Linked DNA regions of Saccharomyces cerevisiae S288C. The protein of the gene in region 2 interacts with the protein of the main gene of each other region in a biochemical or structural test. Each region holds a gene or a part of one and is shown on either strand. Other genes may lie near its edges.

Region 1 (5,283 bases), on a different chromosome or scaffold from region 2:
AACTCCAGAATACGTAAGCGTTCTGGATTCTTTATCGTTAAGCAAATTCGATGAGAATACCAGGAAAATGCAAGCACTATATGATAGAATTGAAAAAGAACTCATAAATTGTGCGCCGGATGTAAATTCTAAGGTCAATATAACGCCAATCGAAACAAAGGAAGAGAGGAGAGAACGAAAGAAAAGAGAAGGTATGGAGAGACAACGTCAACTTAAGAGCCCACAAAATGTGCTATAAGAAAAGGGGACATACCAAGAATTACTCAGCCTTTATTTTTCTTTCTTGTGGCTCTTGCGTTCATTTTTCGTTGTTATATAATCTTGTTAATCTTTGACGGGATAAAAGCGTTATTATTTTGTAATATACACATTAAAACTTATTTTTTTTCTTAAATTTATCTGTATATGATGAAAGATCAGGTCTAGTTAATGCACAAAAAGGTTTAACACATGAATTAAAAAGGAAAAAGACTAGCTTATCGTTTCTAAAAGAAAATCTTTTAATCACTGTCCCCATCGTTATTCATTAATGCGTCGAACATATTAGCTCTTGGAGCTTGAGAAACTTCTTCGACTTTACGAGCATTTCTTTGGTTATTTCTGAAAGAACCTGTTTTCGTGGAAGCAAAACTATCTCTTTGGGTGTTTTGCATGTTCCTTCTGTTAGAAGAATATCTGTTGCTGTTCGATTGGTTGTGATTGTTGAATCTAGAATTTGATCTCTGACTGTTCTTTTTCTGACGTAATTGTTCTTCTTCTTGGTGGATTTGTTGAATTGTCTTTGGTCCGGCGTCTTTCTTAGCGCTGTTCCAATGCTTAATTTCCCTCAATTCCTTCACGTCTATCAACTTGAACTTTATTCTGTTCGATATGGTGCCACCGTCAATGATATGTTGTAACAACATAAATAGATTGTCGAGTAGTACCGAACCTTCAAGAGTTGCCTGAGGCGTAACAAATTTATCATGTTCAAATTGTTCACCCACAGTATTCAGTAATTCAATAACGGACTCTAATGTCTCCTCGGATGGATCGTTGTTTAGATCTTTCATTAATCTCCGGAAGCACTCAAACATCATCTTACCAGTTAATAAGTTCAAACAATATAAGTACCCTATGAAACGTACTAAACCTAACCCTCTTCTCTTGGCGGCAGCCGCAATATAATACTCATCGGACATCATTTCAGGTTCTAGTGGATTACCATCTTCTCCTGCAGGCAACTTATCAGCCCAACCTTTCTCAAATTCTTCGTGACATCTTGCCACTAAATAATGCAACACAAGCTTTGGTCCATTCTTTCCTTCGTTCTCTTTATCTTTAATGTTTGGGTCAAGGTCTTTGACCACTTTGCCACATAACTGAGCATACATTGAAGACCAATGAGGTTCATCACAAGCCTTGTGGAAAATTTGTTCAATAACTATTTTCAATGTTTCGCCATCATCTTCCCACTTTGATTGGTTTGCTATATCCAAAATCTCAGAGGAGATTGAATCAAACATTTCTAAAGTTAACTTGTTTAATAGAGACTTCATTTTTCGTTCTACTTCTTCCTTGTCAAATAATTCAGTTTTGCCGTCAGGAGCTAACTTCTTTTCTGTTTTTTTAACCCTTGATTTAGGTATCCATCTATTAGCACTCGGAACCAACGGGGCGATTTCTTCCTTTGGAGCTTGCTCTTCTGCCTTTTCTGCAGCTTTTTCGCGATCTTTTCTGGAGGTATATCCTCTATTAGATCTTCTGTCGTCACCCATTCTCTTTGATCTTCTTTTCGATGAAACTCTTGAACTGGAAGTATGGTCCATACCGCGCATAGATGGACTTCTGAAATCGCCTCCAAATCTGCCACTATCTTTTGGTTTATTTCTGGCTATATGAGGAGGTATAACAATTTTCGAGGATACAGCTTCAACCCACGCAGGATCAGGCCTGAATTTTAGTTTATCTTTGAATTGCAGTAAGAAGGTAGGGCCATAAGTGTACTTAACGCTTGGTTTCTTGTATTTGATATCAGGCCTTTCAACATTTTCCGGATAGGCAAACTCATATATGTCAGAAATTGGTTGAGCCTTACCTAAAGTTTCAAGTAGTTGAGATACAGTTGGCATCTCAATATCGGAAGTGGAAGGTTCTGTCTCCTTCACTGTGTTCTCCTCTGTGGTGATTACGGAATTTATTGTTTCGTCGTCACTTTTATTTACAGTTTTTCCACCAGTCGTATCCGAAATTTCAGTAGTATCATCATCTTTAACAAGCTCATCAACATCCTGAGAACTGCTCTCATTCTCGGGTTCGTTAAAAGTCACGGATTTAGTTACACTTCCAGTTACATGTTGTGGAGTTTTGACACTTGCCCCTGATTTTCCATCAATCACAACTTCATTAGCTTCTCCCGTTGGTTTCGGCGCTTCCTTAATAGGTTCAGATTCAATAACCGAGTTGGGCTTAGTTGTATCAGTATTATCATGATTTGAAGTTTCTTGCTTCTTCTCAGTTTCGGAGATTAAACCGTTTTTCTTTCTTTCCATGGCAGCTTTGCGCAATCTCACCTGCTCTAAAAATAATCTCTTAGTATTTTCCGCTTCAGAGGTAGATTTTTCATTAGATGTTTCGGTTAACGTATCTTTAACTGCTTCATTAGCAGGTAGTACAGGAGTTGCCTCCTTTTCAAAAGGGGTTCCTGATTTAGATTTCTGCTCTACCCCATCATTCTTCTCTTCACCTTTCGAAGCTTTCTTTTCTTCGTGGAATTTTTTCAAATTTAAACGTTCACCAGTTTTCGTAGTGATTTCTATTTTTGTAGTTTTAGGTGTAGAGGGAGGTTCGGGATTAGTGTTGAGTGGTTGGTGTGTATATGGTGGAGAAGCAACTGGAACCATTTGTTGGGGTATATAATACATCTGAGGAGCATAGTAGTTAGCTGGCCATTGCATACCTGGCAACATTGCCGGGTTATAGTCGTTGTTATTCAGTCTGTAGCCATTATTGAATCTGTTATTGTAGTACTGTGCATTTCCTTGACTATTATTACGATTATTGTATTTATTTGTCCCGTATTTGCCATTTTTCGACTGGTATTGCTTGTTATTGTGAGGTTCCCTTGCACTGTAAAGATTTTCATTGTAGTGGTTATTTGGCTGACTATTATTGGCTCCAGAGTATTGGTTATCATGAGGAGGAAATTTCTTGTAGCCATTGGCTTGCTGCGGGTGTGGGGGCGGTGGACCTCTTTGGTCAGTCATAGTGCCTACAATTGATCTATTGTTCTTTGTAATAAATTCTTTCTTTCAGGAACAGTAAAAACAGCCTAAAAATATGAAGTCGCCGTAGTAAACGTTATCTTCTAGTTACTATCAACACAGACGCCTTTTTAAATTCGAGGGTCAAGGCTGCTAGGCTGAGTGGTCGTTTGCTGTGTTTACCTCTAATCAAAAACTTATTATCTTTTTTTTTTCAGTCCTTTTTGCAAAGCAGGTACCTACTATTTTTCAAAATACACTAAAGGAACGGGCCCCCCGGCTTACTATTAATAAGGTCAGGACGGGGAAAAAGCAGCAATGCTCTGCCCCTCTGTTCTCGAAAAGACAAACGGTTGTTATATCCTGTATATCCAGCGGTATAATTTTGCCTCTTAGTTAATGCTAAACTATGATATTATACACATACACTAAGTAACATATACAATGAGCCAAGTGAAACGAATACATCACTTGAACAGCTTGGCGACAGAAATGGCCGTTTCTTGGTTCTTGTTCATAACCTTACCCACAGCGAGTTCGAAGTCTTCTTGAGTAACGTGTATTCTTCTTTCTCTTAAAGCATACATACCAGCTTCTGTACAGACACCTTTGACATCGGCACCAGAACAACCGTTCATCTTTTCAGCAACCTTTCTCAAGTTGATACCACGAGTTAGATTCATTTTTCTGGAATGGATTCTTAAAATTTCAGCTCTAGCTGCGACACTTGGAGGTGGAAATTCAATCTTCCTATCTATTCTACCGGGTCTCAAAAGTGCTGGATCTAGAATATCTAGTCTATTCGTGGCCATTATGATCTTGATATTTTTAGAAGTTTCAAACCCGTCCAATTGGTTTAGTAGTTCTAACATTGTTCTTTGAACTTCTGAATCACCACCACCAGAACCTTCTACACGAGTAGAGCCAATGGAATCGATTTCATCCATAAAGATAATTGAGGGAGCATGTTCTCTAGCCATCACAAACAGCTCACGGACCATACGGGAACCTTCGCCGATATACTTTTGTACCAGTTCCGCACCACTGACCCTGATGAATTTACAATCAGTGTGATGTGCGACAGCTCTTGCCAATAAGGTTTTCCCTGTACCAGGGGGGCCATATAAGATGACACCCTTTGGTTGCGCAATACCCAAACTTTCAAAAAGTTCAGGATGTTTTACGGGCAATTCAATAACTTCTTTAATCTCCTTTATTTGCTTTGTCAAACCACCAACCATATCGTATGTGGAATCAGGAACTTTTTCCACCATCATCAACGAAACTAGTGGGTCAGCCTTATTCTCAAGAACTTTATGCAACATATAAGAGTCACTCCTTAGACAAACTCTTTGAGATGCCTTTAAGTCCTTCACGTTTATATCTTTTGCAACATCCACGATGTATTTTCCCTCAGGTTGCACTTTAACGAGAACTTTTTTGTCAGACACGATCTTTATAACTTCACCCACATAAGATCCAGGTTCCTGTAATAGACGCAGTTCGTCCTTGATAAAACGTACTTTGTCATTCAATGCATTCCTTTGAGCTTCCAGTCTGCGAACATTTTCTGTTTTGGAGCGGATCTTTAATTCTGTTTCTTGGATCTTCTGTTCAAAATATGGTTTGATACCACTTTCGTGGGTTTCTAATACTATATTGGAGGATGTTACAGCAGCTGTCATTGTCGTGATAGTATCCCACTATACTGTTGTTCCGTTTACATAAAACCTAACCTAACTGTTACTGATATTACAACTTTTGCCACCTCGCTCGCATTTTGACAGTTTTAAAATACGAAAATTTCCGAACAAGAATAAGGGTAGAGAAGTATGCAAAATATGATTTCATATTAAAAAACCCAACCGAAGAAAAAGGGAAATAGAAAAACAAGTTTTCAGTCGCAAAAAGAGGTTAAACAAACGAGTCAGAAGCCAGCTCTTTCAAACAATGGGTATTATTGAAGAAAAGGCTCTTTTTGTTACGTGTGGGGCAACGGTGCCATTTCCAAAGCTCGTCTCATGTGTGCTAAGCGACGAAT
Region 2 (4,547 bases):
CTTGAAATGATGAATAGAAGGGATAACGCCCTAAAAAAAATAAAAAACAGTGTTAATGGTGATGGGACCGCCGCAAACTCAGATTCTGACGACGATAGTACTTCCAGATCTTCTAGAAGAAGAGCAAGAGCTAATGACATGGACTCTATTGGTGAATCGGAGGTGAGAGCTTTGTATAAAGCTATTTTAAAATTTGGCAACCTAAAGGAGATTTTGGACGAGTTGATTGCAGATGGAACCCTGCCGGTCAAATCATTTGAAAAATACGGTGAAACTTACGATGAAATGATGGAAGCAGCTAAAGACTGTGTACACGAGGAAGAGAAAAATAGAAAAGAAATCTTGGAGAAACTTGAGAAGCATGCTACCGCCTATAGAGCAAAGCTAAAAAGCGGTGAAATAAAAGCAGAGAACCAACCAAAGGATAATCCGTTGACTAGATTATCTTTAAAAAAAAGAGAAAAGAAAGCCGTCCTTTTCAACTTTAAAGGTGTTAAATCTTTAAACGCCGAATCTTTACTAAGTAGAGTGGAGGATTTAAAGTACTTGAAGAACTTGATAAATTCAAACTACAAAGATGATCCATTAAAGTTTAGCCTAGGCAACAACACACCTAAGCCTGTACAGAATTGGTCATCTAATTGGACGAAAGAGGAAGATGAGAAGCTATTGATTGGTGTTTTCAAATATGGATATGGTTCCTGGACACAAATAAGAGACGATCCATTTCTAGGCATTACTGATAAAATATTCTTGAATGAAGTTCACAATCCGGTAGCAAAAAAGTCGGCAAGCTCCTCTGATACAACACCAACACCCTCAAAGAAAGGAAAGGGAATAACGGGTTCTTCAAAAAAAGTACCTGGTGCCATTCACTTGGGCAGAAGAGTTGATTATCTATTATCCTTCTTAAGAGGAGGCCTAAATACAAAGAGTCCCAGTGCTGACATAGGCTCGAAAAAACTCCCTACTGGTCCTTCCAAAAAGAGACAAAGAAAACCTGCTAATCACAGCAAATCCATGACTCCAGAAATTACAAGTTCTGAGCCTGCAAATGGCCCGCCAAGCAAACGTATGAAAGCCCTCCCAAAAGGTCCTGCCGCCTTAATAAATAACACGAGATTGTCTCCAAACAGCCCCACGCCCCCATTAAAGTCCAAGGTTTCCAGAGATAATGGTACAAGGCAATCAAGCAACCCCAGTAGCGGCAGCGCTCACGAAAAAGAATATGACAGCATGGATGAAGAAGACTGTCGACACACAATGAGTGCAATACGTACTTCTTTGAAGCGACTTAGAAGAGGCGGCAAAAGTCTTGATCGTAAGGAATGGGCCAAAATTTTGAAGACCGAATTAACTACGATTGGTAATCATATCGAATCGCAAAAGGGCTCATCGAGAAAGGCAAGCCCAGAAAAATATCGCAAGCACCTTTGGTCTTACAGTGCCAACTTTTGGCCTGCCGACGTTAAGAGTACAAAGCTGATGGCAATGTACGACAAGATAACAGAGTCTCAAAAGAAGTGAAACAATTTTTCTTCACCACATTTTCCATTGTTCCTTCCCCCCATAACTATAAACGTATTTATGTATATATATTTGCGTGTAAGTGTGTGTACTATAGGGCACCGTAAAGTAATAATGCTTAATTAGTTACTACTATGACCATATAAGAGGTCATACTGTATGAAGCCACAAAGCAGATAGATCAATCATGTTTAACGAAAACTGTTAATCGAAGATTATTTCTTTTTTTTTTTCTCTTTCCTTTTTACAAAGAAAATTTTTTTTGCGCTTTTTGCCATCACCATCGCAAGTTCTGGGACAATTGTTCTCTTTCGCTCCAGTTCCAAGGAAAGAGGTTTCTGTTTTACTTAATAGAAAGTGTCATCTTGTATTTTATATCTCTTCTTTCTTGTGTAAAATTCTTTAGTTTTGATTTTGTATTTTTAGGACAGTGAGCTACGAAGTAACATTTTTACTTAATAACCGTTTGAAGCATAGAGCAGGCCCTGGTACCACCACCTAATATCTGGCTTTTTATTCAATAAAAACTCAAAAAAAAAAATCCAAAAAAAACTAAAAAACCAATAAAAATAAAATGGCTGATATTACTGATAAGACAGCTGAACAATTGGAAAACTTGAATATTCAAGATGACCAAAAGCAAGCCGCCACTGGTTCAGAAAGCCAATCTGTTGAAAACTCTTCTGCATCATTATATGTTGGTGACTTAGAACCTTCTGTTTCCGAAGCCCACTTATATGATATCTTCTCTCCAATCGGTTCAGTCTCCTCCATTCGTGTCTGTCGTGATGCCATCACTAAGACCTCTTTGGGCTATGCTTATGTTAACTTTAACGACCATGAAGCCGGCAGAAAAGCAATTGAGCAATTGAACTACACTCCAATCAAGGGTAGATTATGCCGTATTATGTGGTCTCAACGTGACCCATCATTGAGAAAGAAGGGTTCTGGTAACATCTTTATCAAGAACTTGCACCCTGATATTGACAACAAGGCTTTGTATGACACTTTCTCTGTGTTTGGTGACATCTTGTCCAGCAAGATTGCCACCGACGAAAACGGAAAATCCAAGGGTTTTGGGTTTGTTCACTTCGAAGAAGAAGGTGCTGCCAAGGAAGCTATTGATGCTTTGAATGGTATGCTGTTGAACGGTCAAGAAATTTATGTTGCTCCTCACTTGTCCAGAAAGGAACGTGACTCTCAATTGGAAGAGACTAAGGCACATTACACTAACCTTTATGTGAAAAACATCAACTCCGAAACTACTGACGAACAATTCCAAGAATTGTTTGCCAAATTTGGTCCAATTGTTTCTGCCTCTTTGGAAAAGGATGCTGATGGAAAATTGAAGGGTTTCGGGTTTGTTAACTACGAAAAGCATGAAGACGCTGTGAAAGCTGTTGAAGCTTTGAATGACTCTGAACTAAATGGAGAAAAGTTATACGTTGGTCGTGCCCAAAAGAAGAATGAACGTATGCATGTCTTGAAGAAGCAATACGAAGCTTACAGATTGGAAAAAATGGCCAAGTACCAAGGTGTTAATTTGTTTGTTAAGAACTTAGATGACAGCGTTGATGACGAAAAGTTGGAAGAAGAATTTGCTCCATATGGTACTATCACTTCTGCAAAGGTTATGAGAACCGAAAACGGTAAGTCTAAGGGTTTTGGTTTTGTTTGTTTCTCAACTCCAGAGGAAGCTACTAAGGCCATTACAGAAAAGAACCAACAAATTGTTGCTGGTAAGCCATTATACGTTGCCATTGCTCAAAGAAAAGACGTAAGACGTTCTCAATTGGCTCAACAAATCCAAGCCAGAAATCAAATGAGATACCAGCAAGCTACTGCTGCCGCTGCCGCCGCCGCTGCCGGTATGCCAGGTCAATTCATGCCTCCAATGTTCTATGGTGTTATGCCACCAAGAGGTGTTCCATTCAACGGTCCAAACCCACAACAAATGAACCCAATGGGCGGTATGCCAAAGAACGGCATGCCACCTCAATTTAGAAATGGTCCGGTTTACGGCGTCCCCCCACAAGGTGGTTTCCCAAGAAATGCCAACGATAACAACCAATTTTATCAACAAAAGCAAAGACAAGCTTTGGGTGAACAATTATACAAGAAGGTTTCTGCTAAGACTTCAAATGAAGAAGCAGCTGGTAAAATTACTGGTATGATTTTGGATTTGCCACCTCAAGAGGTCTTCCCATTGTTGGAAAGTGATGAATTGTTCGAACAACACTACAAAGAAGCTTCTGCTGCCTATGAGTCTTTCAAAAAGGAGCAAGAACAACAAACTGAGCAAGCTTAATGCTCTATGTAATCACCTACTTCCCTACTCAACAAACTTATCATCTTTTTTTTCTCCCTTCCCTTTTTTTTTTGTCTTAAATACTAGTTATTATCCTTTGTAACCTAAATACTCGCTCTTATTGACAAAATGCAAACGTTTTTTGTTTTTAACTGTCAAGAGAAGTATCATTTTACTATTATTAGACTTCATTACTGAGTTTATTAGTTGCGTTTTTTTGAGGTCTCATTATTAACGGCAGAATGTTAGTTTTCGCGGAAAATAAACAAAATAGCACGGAAAAAAGACCAACAGGTTCCAGGAAAATACTAATTTACAAAAAATTGACAAATCAAGTGAGGGTACCTTGCTATTCATCACCGCATTCAACTAACTGGAGGTACAAAGCTGATAAAATTTCACAGAGCAAAGTCTCACTTAGCTTTTACTTTATGAAATTTGACCTTTAATAACCGAAGGTCATCGTAATACGCAACTCAGACAGTTTTAAGTGGATTTTTAGGGTCGCAATTAAAAACACTCAAAAATTAACCGGAGGTTGAGCAAGGGAAAGCAACCGTAACAGAAATCCTTTATTTCCTCCTGGAAGTGAAATAAAAACGCAGTTAACTTTAAAAAGGAAAGTTAGTTGATAATTATGTCTGGAACTTTTCATGGCGATGGGCATGCTCCCATGTCGCCCTTTGAAGATACATTTCAATTTGAAGATAAT
Region 3 (5,373 bases), on a different chromosome or scaffold from region 2:
CGGTCCTTTCCTTTCGTGGCCTCTGTAAAAAAAAGGACAAATGGTGAAGCAGTAGCATGATTAAATCGAAATATGAAGTTAAAGCCGTCAGCTAATAAATGATATAAATATACAAAACTATACATATGCTGAGTGGTCTATTATATAAAACATATCGTAAACGAAGACTGGCGAAGCTATAAATAAAAATACAGAAAGGCATTGACATATAGAACAAGATAGGAAAAAAAAGCACAGTAAGAGGATTACCCATTAAAATGCATCAAACTTGTTTATAGCTTTTAGTGAAAAGAAATGAGCCCATTAATCGAGAAAATATAACAATGGTAAATTAGGGACACTTTTTTTTTCTTCTCCATGCATATATTTTCAATTAATAGCGCAGGATTAAACGTAAGATTAAATTTGTGTTGTACTATTAATTTATTATTTTATTAGACTTTCTACCAACATCCTTGTATCCAAGTGACATTTTCGATACTTAACATGATCTATTCATGTTACTCTTCGTCATCACTTTCTCCCATTAATGCACTGAACATATTTGTTGCGGTAGAAGTTGGTGCAGCTGGTTCTTCCTTTGGAGGAGGAGCCCTTTGGCTATTTCTTTGAGAATATGTTCTGGTTGTGATAAAGCTATCTTTTGATGCAGGAGGAGCGTCCCTTCTGAAAGAGTGTCTATTACTGGAGTTGTTCGTACGTCTTGAATTAGATCTTGAATTATTCTTCAATTGACGTTGTCTCTCCTCTTCCTCATGAATCTGTTGAATGGTCTTAGGACCGTTGTCCTTCTTATCACTGTTCCAGTTCTTGTCGTGCCTTAATTCTTTAATGTCGATCAACTTGAACTTGATTCTACTAGAAATCTTAGCAGTTTGAATAATATTGTCTAAAATACCGAACAAACTATCGAGCAATTGCGAACCCTCCAATGTTGCTTGACCCGTTCTGAAACTATCGGTCTCAAATTGTTCACCAACAGTATTTAACAATTCAACAACGGACTCTAGAGTTTCTTCAGATGGAGAATCCGTCAAATCCTTCATTAGTCTACGGAAACATTCGAACATCATCTTTCCAGTCAACAGATTCAGACGGTATAGGAAACCGATGAAACGAACCAAACCTAAACCTCTTCTCTTAGCAGAAGCAGCTGCATAGTACTCTTCTGACATCATCTCAGGTTCTAATGGAGTACCATCTTCGTTTGTGGGTAATTTATCGGTCCAACCCTTGTCAAATTCGGCATGACATCTAGCAACCAAGTAATGCAAAACCAATTTTGGACCTGTCTTACCTTCATTAGTTTCATCTGTTATATCTGGGTTTAATTCTTTAACTACTTTACCACATAATTGCGCGTACATAGAAGACCAATGGGGTTCGTCACAGGCCTTTAAGAAAATCTGTTCTATCACAGCCTTTAACGTTTCACCATTTGTTTCCCATACTGATATGTTTGCAATAGCCAAAATTTCAGATGAAATAGCATCGAACATTTCCAAAGTAAGTTTATTCAGTAGTGACTTCATCTTTCTTTCAACTTCATCCTTGTCCAATAGTTCGGTCTTTCCGTCAGGGGCTAGCTTCTTTTCAGTCTTTTTAGACTTGAATTTTGGCACCCACCTATTAGCACTTGGAACAAGTGGAGCAACTTCTTCCTTTGGTTTATCGTCCTCTCTTTTCTCTTCATTTCTGTAGGAGCCTCTCTCGCGGTCTCTTCTTGATGTATAAGATCTATTAGATCTCCTGTCGTCATTCATTCTCTTTGATCTTCTCTTTGATGAAGTTCTTGAATTAGCTCTGTCATCCATATTTCTCACTGAGGTATTTCTAAAGTCATGGCCACGACTAGAATTATTGCCGAATCTGCCAGAATCTCTAGATCTATTTCCTCTGCCCATTCCTGGTGGAATGACAATTTTAGAAGCAGTGCTTTGGACCCATTCGGCGTCCGCTTTGACGTTTAGTTTGTCCTTAAATTGAAGCAAGAAAGTTGGGCCATATGTATATTTGACGTGTTCTTTCTTGTATTTGATATCAGGACCTTCAATACCTTCTGGATAGTTAAAAGAAAAGACATCTTCAATTGGTGTAGCATCTTTCAATACATTCAATATGTGAGAAACGGTGTTTGTACCATCATCAGTTTCATCAGTTGTAGTTTCGATTTCAGCTTCAAGTCCAATCTTTGTTCCAGCATCACCTGCTTCAGCCTCAACTTCAGCTTCAGCTTCATCAGATTTAGTAGGGATAGCCGGAGTTGTTGCAGATTCATCAATGTTTGACTGTTCGGTTTCGGCGACCTCAGTTTCTTCTTTAACCTGTTCACTGGGAGGCACAGGAGCAGACTCGATGGCGCTCTTAGTCTCTTCCTGTACTGGCACTTCCTTGTTTTCCTTCCCCTCCGTTTTTTCTTCTCGTTCTTTTTGTTGTTTCTTCAACTTCAAACGTTCAGCAAAGGTTAACACCTTTGGAGTGGATTCTTCCTTTATTTGGCCCTTTTCTCCTTGTTCACCTTCTTCAGCTGGAGTTTCTTGCTTAACTTCTGGCTCAGCAGATTTTTCTTCAGCAGGCTTGGTTTTTTCGGTTACCTCAGGTTTGTCCGATCCCTTCTCTTCCACATTTTCTGGGGTAGTCTTCATTGGAATATTATTGTTGCCACTAGAACCTTCAAGTTGCTCCTTTCTCTTCTTTTCTAAAGCAGCTTTACGAAGTTTAACTTGCTCGATGAAATTTCTTCTTGTCTTTTCAGCTTCAGATATATTTTCTTCAGAACTGGCCTTAGAGTCATTAGTGGAAGGGGTAGGAGTTGGAGTAGAAGTAGAAGTAGAATCAGAAGTTTCTTTTAACTTTGACTCTGGTTGCGGAGACACAGTAGATCTTTCCTGAGACTGTAGCTTGGCTTTATGCTGTTCTTTCAAATCTAAGTGTTCACCAGACTTGGTAGTGATTTCTATCTTAGTTGGAACAGGTGACTTCTCTTCGACAGGAATTGGATTAGCAGGGGCACTACCAGCGGCCGCCATTTGCTGGGGCTGGTAGTAAACGGGGTAGTTATTATAGTAACCAGTCCATGGCACGTTTGAGCTGTTGGCTCCCATGTGTCCACCTCTGAAACTACCGCCACCATTATAGTTGCCACGGTTGTTATATCTGTTTGGTCCAAATTTACCACCTCTTTGCTGATGAGGTCTGTTGCTGTTGTAAGGCTTCTTTTGGGTATAGTTGCTACCATTGTTGTAGTTGGTGTAGCCACGTTGTTGCTGAGATTCCTGCTGGTCATCGCCTGTCTGTTTCAGAGCAGCAGATTCCTGCTTTGAAGCAGATTGTGTCGGGTGAGCAGTTTCGTCTGTCATTATTGTAATAGGTAATTACAGTTGTCCTCTTACCTTGCTTATTTATGAGCAAGAAGGAGTAAAGTAAGAAGCTTTAAGAAATTGAAGGGAAGAGGAAGAATCATAATTAAGTAAATTATCACAATATCAAGATTGGTAAAATTTCAAGCAACATATTGAAATTCCATCTACCATCCATCCGTTGCACACAGAGAACGCGGCATCGAAAATTTTTCTTGAAAAAAAAACTTTTGTCAGTGAAACAGTACGAGAAAAAAAAAAAATAAAAAAAAAGCTATAATTGAAAAAGGACGCACAAAAATACGGTGAAAAAGAAAAAAAAAATCGTTTCTCACGTCGTTATCGAGTCGCGATGAGGATAGCGCCCATCATATGATCATCCCATTACGATGGAAGTCTGCCATCATGATGTCCAAGAGGGTCCTTAAAGCTATTAGTAAGTAAAAAAAAACTGTTGTTCCAGAGATATTGAAAAAAGCCTTATTAATGTAATCTTCAAAAAATGATTTCGCCCAGGATCGAACTGGGGACGTTCTGCGTGTTAAGCAGATGCCATAACCGACTAGACCACGAAACCACTCTTATTGGAAGATTGATCCAATTAAAGGGGAATAGGTCACATGAAACGACGACAACTATGCTGGTTATTACCTAGAGGGATAATTGCAAGCTAGATCTTGAAACGAACAGAGGAAAAAAGCTAAAGTAGTAACAACAACCAATATATGTATATATGAAGAGAATGTGGATTTTGTTGGAATAAAAATCCACTATCGTCTATCAACTAATAGTTATATTATCAATATATTATCATATACGGTGTTAAGATGATGACATAAGTTATGAGAAGCTGTCATCGAAGTTAGAGGAAGCTGAAGTGCAAGGATTGATAATGTAATAGGATAATGAAACATATAAAACGGAATGAGGAATAATCGTAATATTAGTATGTAGAAATATAGATTCCATTTTGAGGATTCCTATATCCTCGAGGAGAACTTCTAGTATATTCTGTATACCTAATATTATAGCCTTTATCAACAATGGAATCCCAACAATTATCTAATTACCCACATATATCTCATGGTAGCGCCTGTGCTTCGGTTACTTCTAAGGAAGTCCACACAAATCAAGATCCGTTAGACGTTTCAGCTTCCAAAATTCAAGAATATGATAAGGCTTCCACTAAGGCTAACTCTCAACAGACAACAACACCTGCTTCATCAGCTGTTCCAGAGAACCCCCATCATGCCTCTCCTCAACCTGCTTCAGTACCACCTCCACAGAATGGGCCGTACCCACAGCAGTGCATGATGACCCAAAACCAAGCCAATCCATCTGGTTGGTCATTTTACGGACACCCATCTATGATTCCGTATACACCTTATCAAATGTCGCCTATGTACTTTCCACCTGGGCCACAATCACAGTTTCCGCAGTATCCATCATCAGTTGGAACGCCTCTGAGCACTCCATCACCTGAGTCAGGTAATACATTTACTGATTCATCCTCAGCGGACTCTGATATGACATCCACTAAAAAATATGTCAGACCACCACCAATGTTAACCTCACCTAATGACTTTCCAAATTGGGTTAAAACATACATCAAATTTTTACAAAACTCGAATCTCGGTGGTATTATTCCGACAGTAAACGGAAAACCCGTACGTCAGATCACTGATGATGAACTCACCTTCTTGTATAACACTTTTCAAATATTTGCTCCCTCTCAATTCCTACCTACCTGGGTCAAAGACATCCTATCCGTTGATTATACGGATATCATGAAAATTCTTTCCAAAAGTATTGAAAAAATGCAATCTGATACCCAAGAGGCAAACGACATTGTGACCCTGGCAAATTTGCAATATAATGGCAGTACACCTGCAGATGCATTTGAAACAAAAGTCACAAACATTATCGACAGACTGAACAATAATGGCATTCATATCAATAACAAGGTCGCATGCCAATTAATTATGAGAGGTCTATCTGGCGAATATAAATTTTT
Region 4 (4,686 bases), on a different chromosome or scaffold from region 2:
CAGTTGTTTTATAATACTATGCTAGAAGAAGAAGTTAGAATGATATCAAGTAGTCTTTTGTTTATTTACGAAGGAGACCCGGAGCGATGGGAATTACTAAATGATGTTGACAAACTTATGCGAGATGATTTTATAGACGATGATGACGACGATGATGATAATGATGATGATGATGATGATGATGCCGAGGGAAGCAGCGAAGGACCAAAGGACAAAAAAACAACTGGTTCTTTGAGTTCCATGTCACTAATAGATTTTGCACATTCTGAAATAACGCCGGGGAAGGGTTATGATGAAAACGTGATTGAAGGAGTTGAAACCTTGCTAGATATTTTTATGAAATTCTAGATATATTGAGAGGTGAAGTTTACCTTGTTTATGGTATATGGTACAAAAAGAACTAAACTAATTATACGTCTATATATATATATATATATATAACAGCTTTATTAAACCTTGTTTTTTAATATAGAAGAAAATGCTTTATGATCGGTATTATTGTGTTTGCATTTACTTATGTTTGCAAGAAATTTACTCGGCAATTTTAACAATTTTACCAATTGCTATTGTGGTACCTTGATCTCTCAAAGTGAATCTACCTAATTGAGGGTAATCTTGGTAAGTTTCCACACAAACTGGAGCTTCAGTTTCTAAAACAGCGATGACCTTCATACCCTTCTTAGCAAAAGCAGGTGGTTTCTTTGACTTACGGTTGGTACCCTTTTCTAATTTGTGCAATAACTTAACAATATGTACCTCTTCAATTGCTGTATGAACATGCATAACACATGAAAAACCGGCTGCTATGATAGATTTTAATTCTACAATAGCAATTTGAGCTACAAACTTGGTAACACTCTTGATAGGGTTCTTTGGCGATGTTAGTACAAAACCTGGTGAAATGTCTTCTTCTTCAACACCTTTGATTCTTAGTTTAACTTGCTCACCACACATAGCCATATCAACTTCATTTTCAGTTTCGTTGTAAATATTTTGAATTTCCACAGCGGTTTTGTTAGGCATCAGTAGGGTGGATTGACCCTTTTTGATATGACCGGATTCAATTTTACCTTCAACGATGGTACCTAGATCCTTCATCTTAGCGGCAATAGGCAACATGAATGGAGCATTGATGTGACGGTCGACGTGGTTCATTGTATCCAGATATTCTAACAGAGTTGGGCCGGTGTACCATGGGCATTCTTTTGGATCTACGTGATCTTTCAAATTTGCACCACTGTAGCCGGATACTGGCATAAATACAACGTCTGTCTTAATGTTGTAACCAATTGCTCTCAAGAAATTGCTGACATTACTCACACATTGGTCGTAACGTTCCTTAGACCAGTTAACGGTTGGGTCATCCATCTTATTTACGACGACAACCATCTTATTAACACCTTGGGTCTTGGCCAATAGGGCGTGTTCACGAGTTTGACCACCTCTCTCAAAACCGGTTTCGTACTCACCCTTTCTGGCGGAAATGACCAAAACACCAACATCAGCTTGAGAAGCACCACCGATCATCTCGGAAACGTACATTTTATGACCAGGAGCATCCAATATGGTATAACGCCTTTTTTCAGTTTCAAAGTAGGCCTTACCAACTTCGATAGTCTTACCATCATTTCTTTCTTCTTTGTTGGTATCCATGACCCATGACAAGTACCAACCTTGTCTGCCTGCATCCTTGGCTTCTCTTTCATATTTCTCAATAGTTCTCTTATCCACAGAGCCAGTCAAGTATAGTAGATTACCACCCATAGTAGATTTACCGGCATCAACATGACCCATGAAAATTAAAGAAACGTGATCTTTACCACCAAACATATCGTTAACAACTTCGTCATCCACTTCTTCTTCCTGTTCCTTGATCAAGGCATCAGCACTGGTAACATTGGCATTGTTGGTATTATGTGTTGATTCAGAGATTTTAAGGTCTTCTACCTTTGGAAGTTCCGATTTTTCCTCCGTCTTTTCTTCAGTCTGGACTGGTTTCTCCTCCTTTTTAACTGGTTCTTCGACCTTTGTTGGCTCTTTAGTTGGTTCTTTGGTTTCAGCAGACTTCTCTTCCTCTTTCTTATCAGATTCGGCAGGTTTTGTGCCAACCTTCTTGGTAGCATTGGCCAACTTGATACCGGAACTGGAGACAAGCTTCAAAGTCTTCTTTGGTTTGGGAGCGGCCTGCTTTTGTTGCTTTTGAAAGTCGTTCAAAGACATACCTTGAGACTGTGGTTGGAAACCAGCTTGATATCCTTGCAAATTGTTATTGTAGTTGAAGTTTTTGTAATTTCCACGGCCACCTTGTGGATTGAATTGCTGCTGATAACCGCCTTGAGGATTGTACTGTTGATAGCCTCCTTGAGGATTATACTGTTGCTGGTAACCGGCGTCGGGATTGTACTGTTGATAGCCACCTTGTTGGTACCCAGAATAACCTTGGTAATTTTGGTAGTACCCACCTGCAGGTTGGGCTTGAGCATTGTAAGCTTGATAACCTTGGTATCTGTTGTTACCTTGTTGTTGGTTACCGTTCTGGCTGTATTGCTGGTAGTTTTGCTGATTGTTGCCTTGGTTTGAATCCGACATTGTTGCTAGTGGGCAGATATAGATGTTATTCCGAGCAAGTCGATGAAGAAACCGCTTTTTGTTACAGTACAATGGAGTCTTTCAAGAGAAGATGTACCAATATACACTACACTCTTCAGAAGCAATGGGAGCTTTGGTCGAGTGAAAAAAAAATTTTCTCCATAAAGAAAGATCATATTATACGATGATGTAAGATATAATACCCGGTTGTAATGTACATTTAAGAGCAAGGTAAGAAGTGACAATAACTTCTGTATGATCTTAGCATGTACCTCTTTTGGTGGGCTGAGAACTAAGATTCATCTTTTTGCGGAAGAATTTTGCTATGAACTTCACAACTTTATGAAGTGGTTTAAGAGAATTACAAAAGAAATGACACAGACTCGAACACTGTGACGCGTCGTCTTAGTAAAAAATAATAATTTGAGTCAAATAGCGCAGCTAATGCGAAACAAAGAAATGAAGCATATACCATTCGTTGTATGATTTTTGTGTGGTTGACAGATATTCTGCCGAAATTTTAACGCTTATTATAAATATAAATGTATGTATGTGTGTATAAACAGATACGATATTCAATTTTCTACCGTAGGGTTGGGATTTTCTTCAAACTCCAATTCTTCGTCGGGTATTTCCTCAATGGCGATCCTCTTTTTTGGCTTCGGCTTTTCAGTGTCATTGACAATTTTAGGCACCTTAATTTGTAGTAGACCGTTGTTGTAAGTAGCTTTAATTTCTTCGTCCTTAATGCGTGGCAGCACGGGGAATTTAACGGTTCTCTCAAACGCACCATATTTTAGTTCCGTGATCTTCAAGAATTTTTCATCAATGCCCACTCTGTCTTCGATCTTACCCTTGATGAGCATCTCATGAGAAGATGGATGGTAATCAATGTGGAAAGCCCTAGAGTTAGCACCTGGTAACGCAAGAACAACTACGTAAGTGTCCTCGGTATCATAGACATTCACTTCTGGTGAAAATGGTAAGTCCATTCTCGTTTCAGGCTTGGATACTTGTAACGGGTCAGGTATTGGGGAAGGCGCTTGTAGGTGAGCGAACGATGAAGATTTTTTGGCTAATGGTGGTCTCGACGATTCCTCCAGCTGATTCAAAGGTTTTTCTTTGTTGGTTTCGCCAGCTTCCTCTTTGGGTGCTTCAGACTTATCCTTCTTATCCTTTTCTTCTCCCTTTTCGCCCTCCTGTTCGGTATTTGCTTCAATTTCTGGTTCAGTGCCTTCATATGGTGGAACACCTATTAACGCGGTTAATAAGTCGTTTAAACTGTTTGCCTGTTGGTTGGTCCTATTATTCCTGGCAGTATTACAATGGTAATATGATGGATATCTTCTCGAGTTGCTGTCCTCGCCACCATCTTCCTGTCTTGTAGTGCCGCTGTCACCCACCATATCTTCGTCTTGGTCCTCTTCTTCACCATCCTCGTCATCATAACCGTATTCAGGACTATAGTAATAGGCTTGTCCAGGGAACTGGTAGTAATAGGTATTAGGAACACCATTGTATCTGCTATACAATGGATGATGACGAGGATGATGCCCGCCAACGTGCACTTGTCCATAATGGGGATGGTATCTCTGTGGCCTTTGTGGTTGGCGAGGATATCCTTGCTGCCCTCTCTGGCCAGTTTGGTTGGATAATGCGTTCAAAACGTCATAAAGAGATAGGGATGGTTGATAAAAACTCATTGCTTCGGCTTGGTATGATCTTAATTTGTGTGGGATATGGACAATTGCCTGAACGTGTCCCTATGTTATGTATAATTATACTTCTTGACCGTATGTATGAGAATAAAAGATAGTTCCTGCCGGGATCAAAAAAACGATGACAGCAAGTCTTATATAACTAACTTCACAGAGGCCTCCCCCCTGCCGCCAAGGCCGCCCCTGTATTCGCCCCTGAGCAGTTCTCAATTCGCGAACCTTCCAGAACTTTTAAGCGCGTGTTCCAGGCGTTGCCGCCTAGCCACTGTTGGCCTCCGCCAAATTACTCCGGCAACACACCTATATAACTGCTCGAGCGGCTGATAGGGAAAGCTGAATTGAAGTATGTCATATCCTGTTTTAAACAAGTCTCGTTTTA

Evidence for each region.
Region 1: the proteins of PAB1 (region 2) and TIF4632 form a complex in vitro, tested with the Saccharomyces cerevisiae proteins (6 studies listed by BioGRID).
Region 3: the proteins of PAB1 (region 2) and TIF4631 form a complex in vitro, tested with the Saccharomyces cerevisiae proteins (10 studies listed by BioGRID).
Region 4: the proteins of PAB1 (region 2) and SUP35 form a complex in vitro, tested with the Saccharomyces cerevisiae proteins (3 studies listed by BioGRID).

What each region holds. Positions count from the first base shown.
Region 1 is NC_001139.9:406,360-411,642, forward strand, and holds TIF4632 (translation initiation factor eIF4G), read right to left. Parts: upstream 3,246-5,283; coding exon 501-3,245; downstream 1-500. Other genes in the region: tRNA methyltransferase TYW3, read left to right, coding at 1-238; proteasome regulatory particle base subunit RPT6, read right to left, coding at 3,710-4,927; N-acetylglucosaminyldiphosphodolichol N-acetylglucosaminyltransferase catalytic subunit ALG13, read left to right, coding at 5,193-5,283. UniProt on the Saccharomyces cerevisiae protein: Component of the eIF4F complex, which interacts with the mRNA cap structure and serves as an initial point of assembly for the translation apparatus.
Region 2 is NC_001137.3:508,272-512,818, forward strand, and holds PAB1 (polyadenylate-binding protein), read left to right. Parts: upstream 1-2,101; coding exon 2,102-3,835; downstream 3,836-4,547. Other genes in the region: chromatin-remodeling ATPase CHD1, read left to right, coding at 1-1,527; aminophospholipid-translocating P4-type ATPase DNF1, read left to right, coding at 4,473-4,547. UniProt on the Saccharomyces cerevisiae protein: Binds the poly(A) tail of mRNA. Appears to be an important mediator of the multiple roles of the poly(A) tail in mRNA biogenesis, stability and translation.
Region 3 is NC_001139.9:822,045-827,417, reverse strand, and holds TIF4631 (translation initiation factor eIF4G), read right to left. Parts: upstream 3,360-5,373; coding exon 501-3,359; downstream 1-500. Other genes in the region: YGR161C-C (gag protein), read left to right, coding at 4,403-5,373. UniProt on the Saccharomyces cerevisiae protein: Component of the eIF4F complex, which interacts with the mRNA cap structure and serves as an initial point of assembly for the translation apparatus.
Region 4 is NC_001136.10:806,227-810,912, reverse strand, and holds SUP35 (translation termination factor GTPase eRF3), read right to left. Parts: upstream 2,590-4,686; coding exon 532-2,589; downstream 1-531. Other genes in the region: ARG82 (inositol polyphosphate multikinase), read left to right, coding at 1-348; heat shock protein HSP42, read right to left, coding at 3,165-4,292. UniProt on the Saccharomyces cerevisiae protein: GTPase component of the eRF1-eRF3-GTP ternary complex, a ternary complex that mediates translation termination in response to the termination codons UAA, UAG and UGA.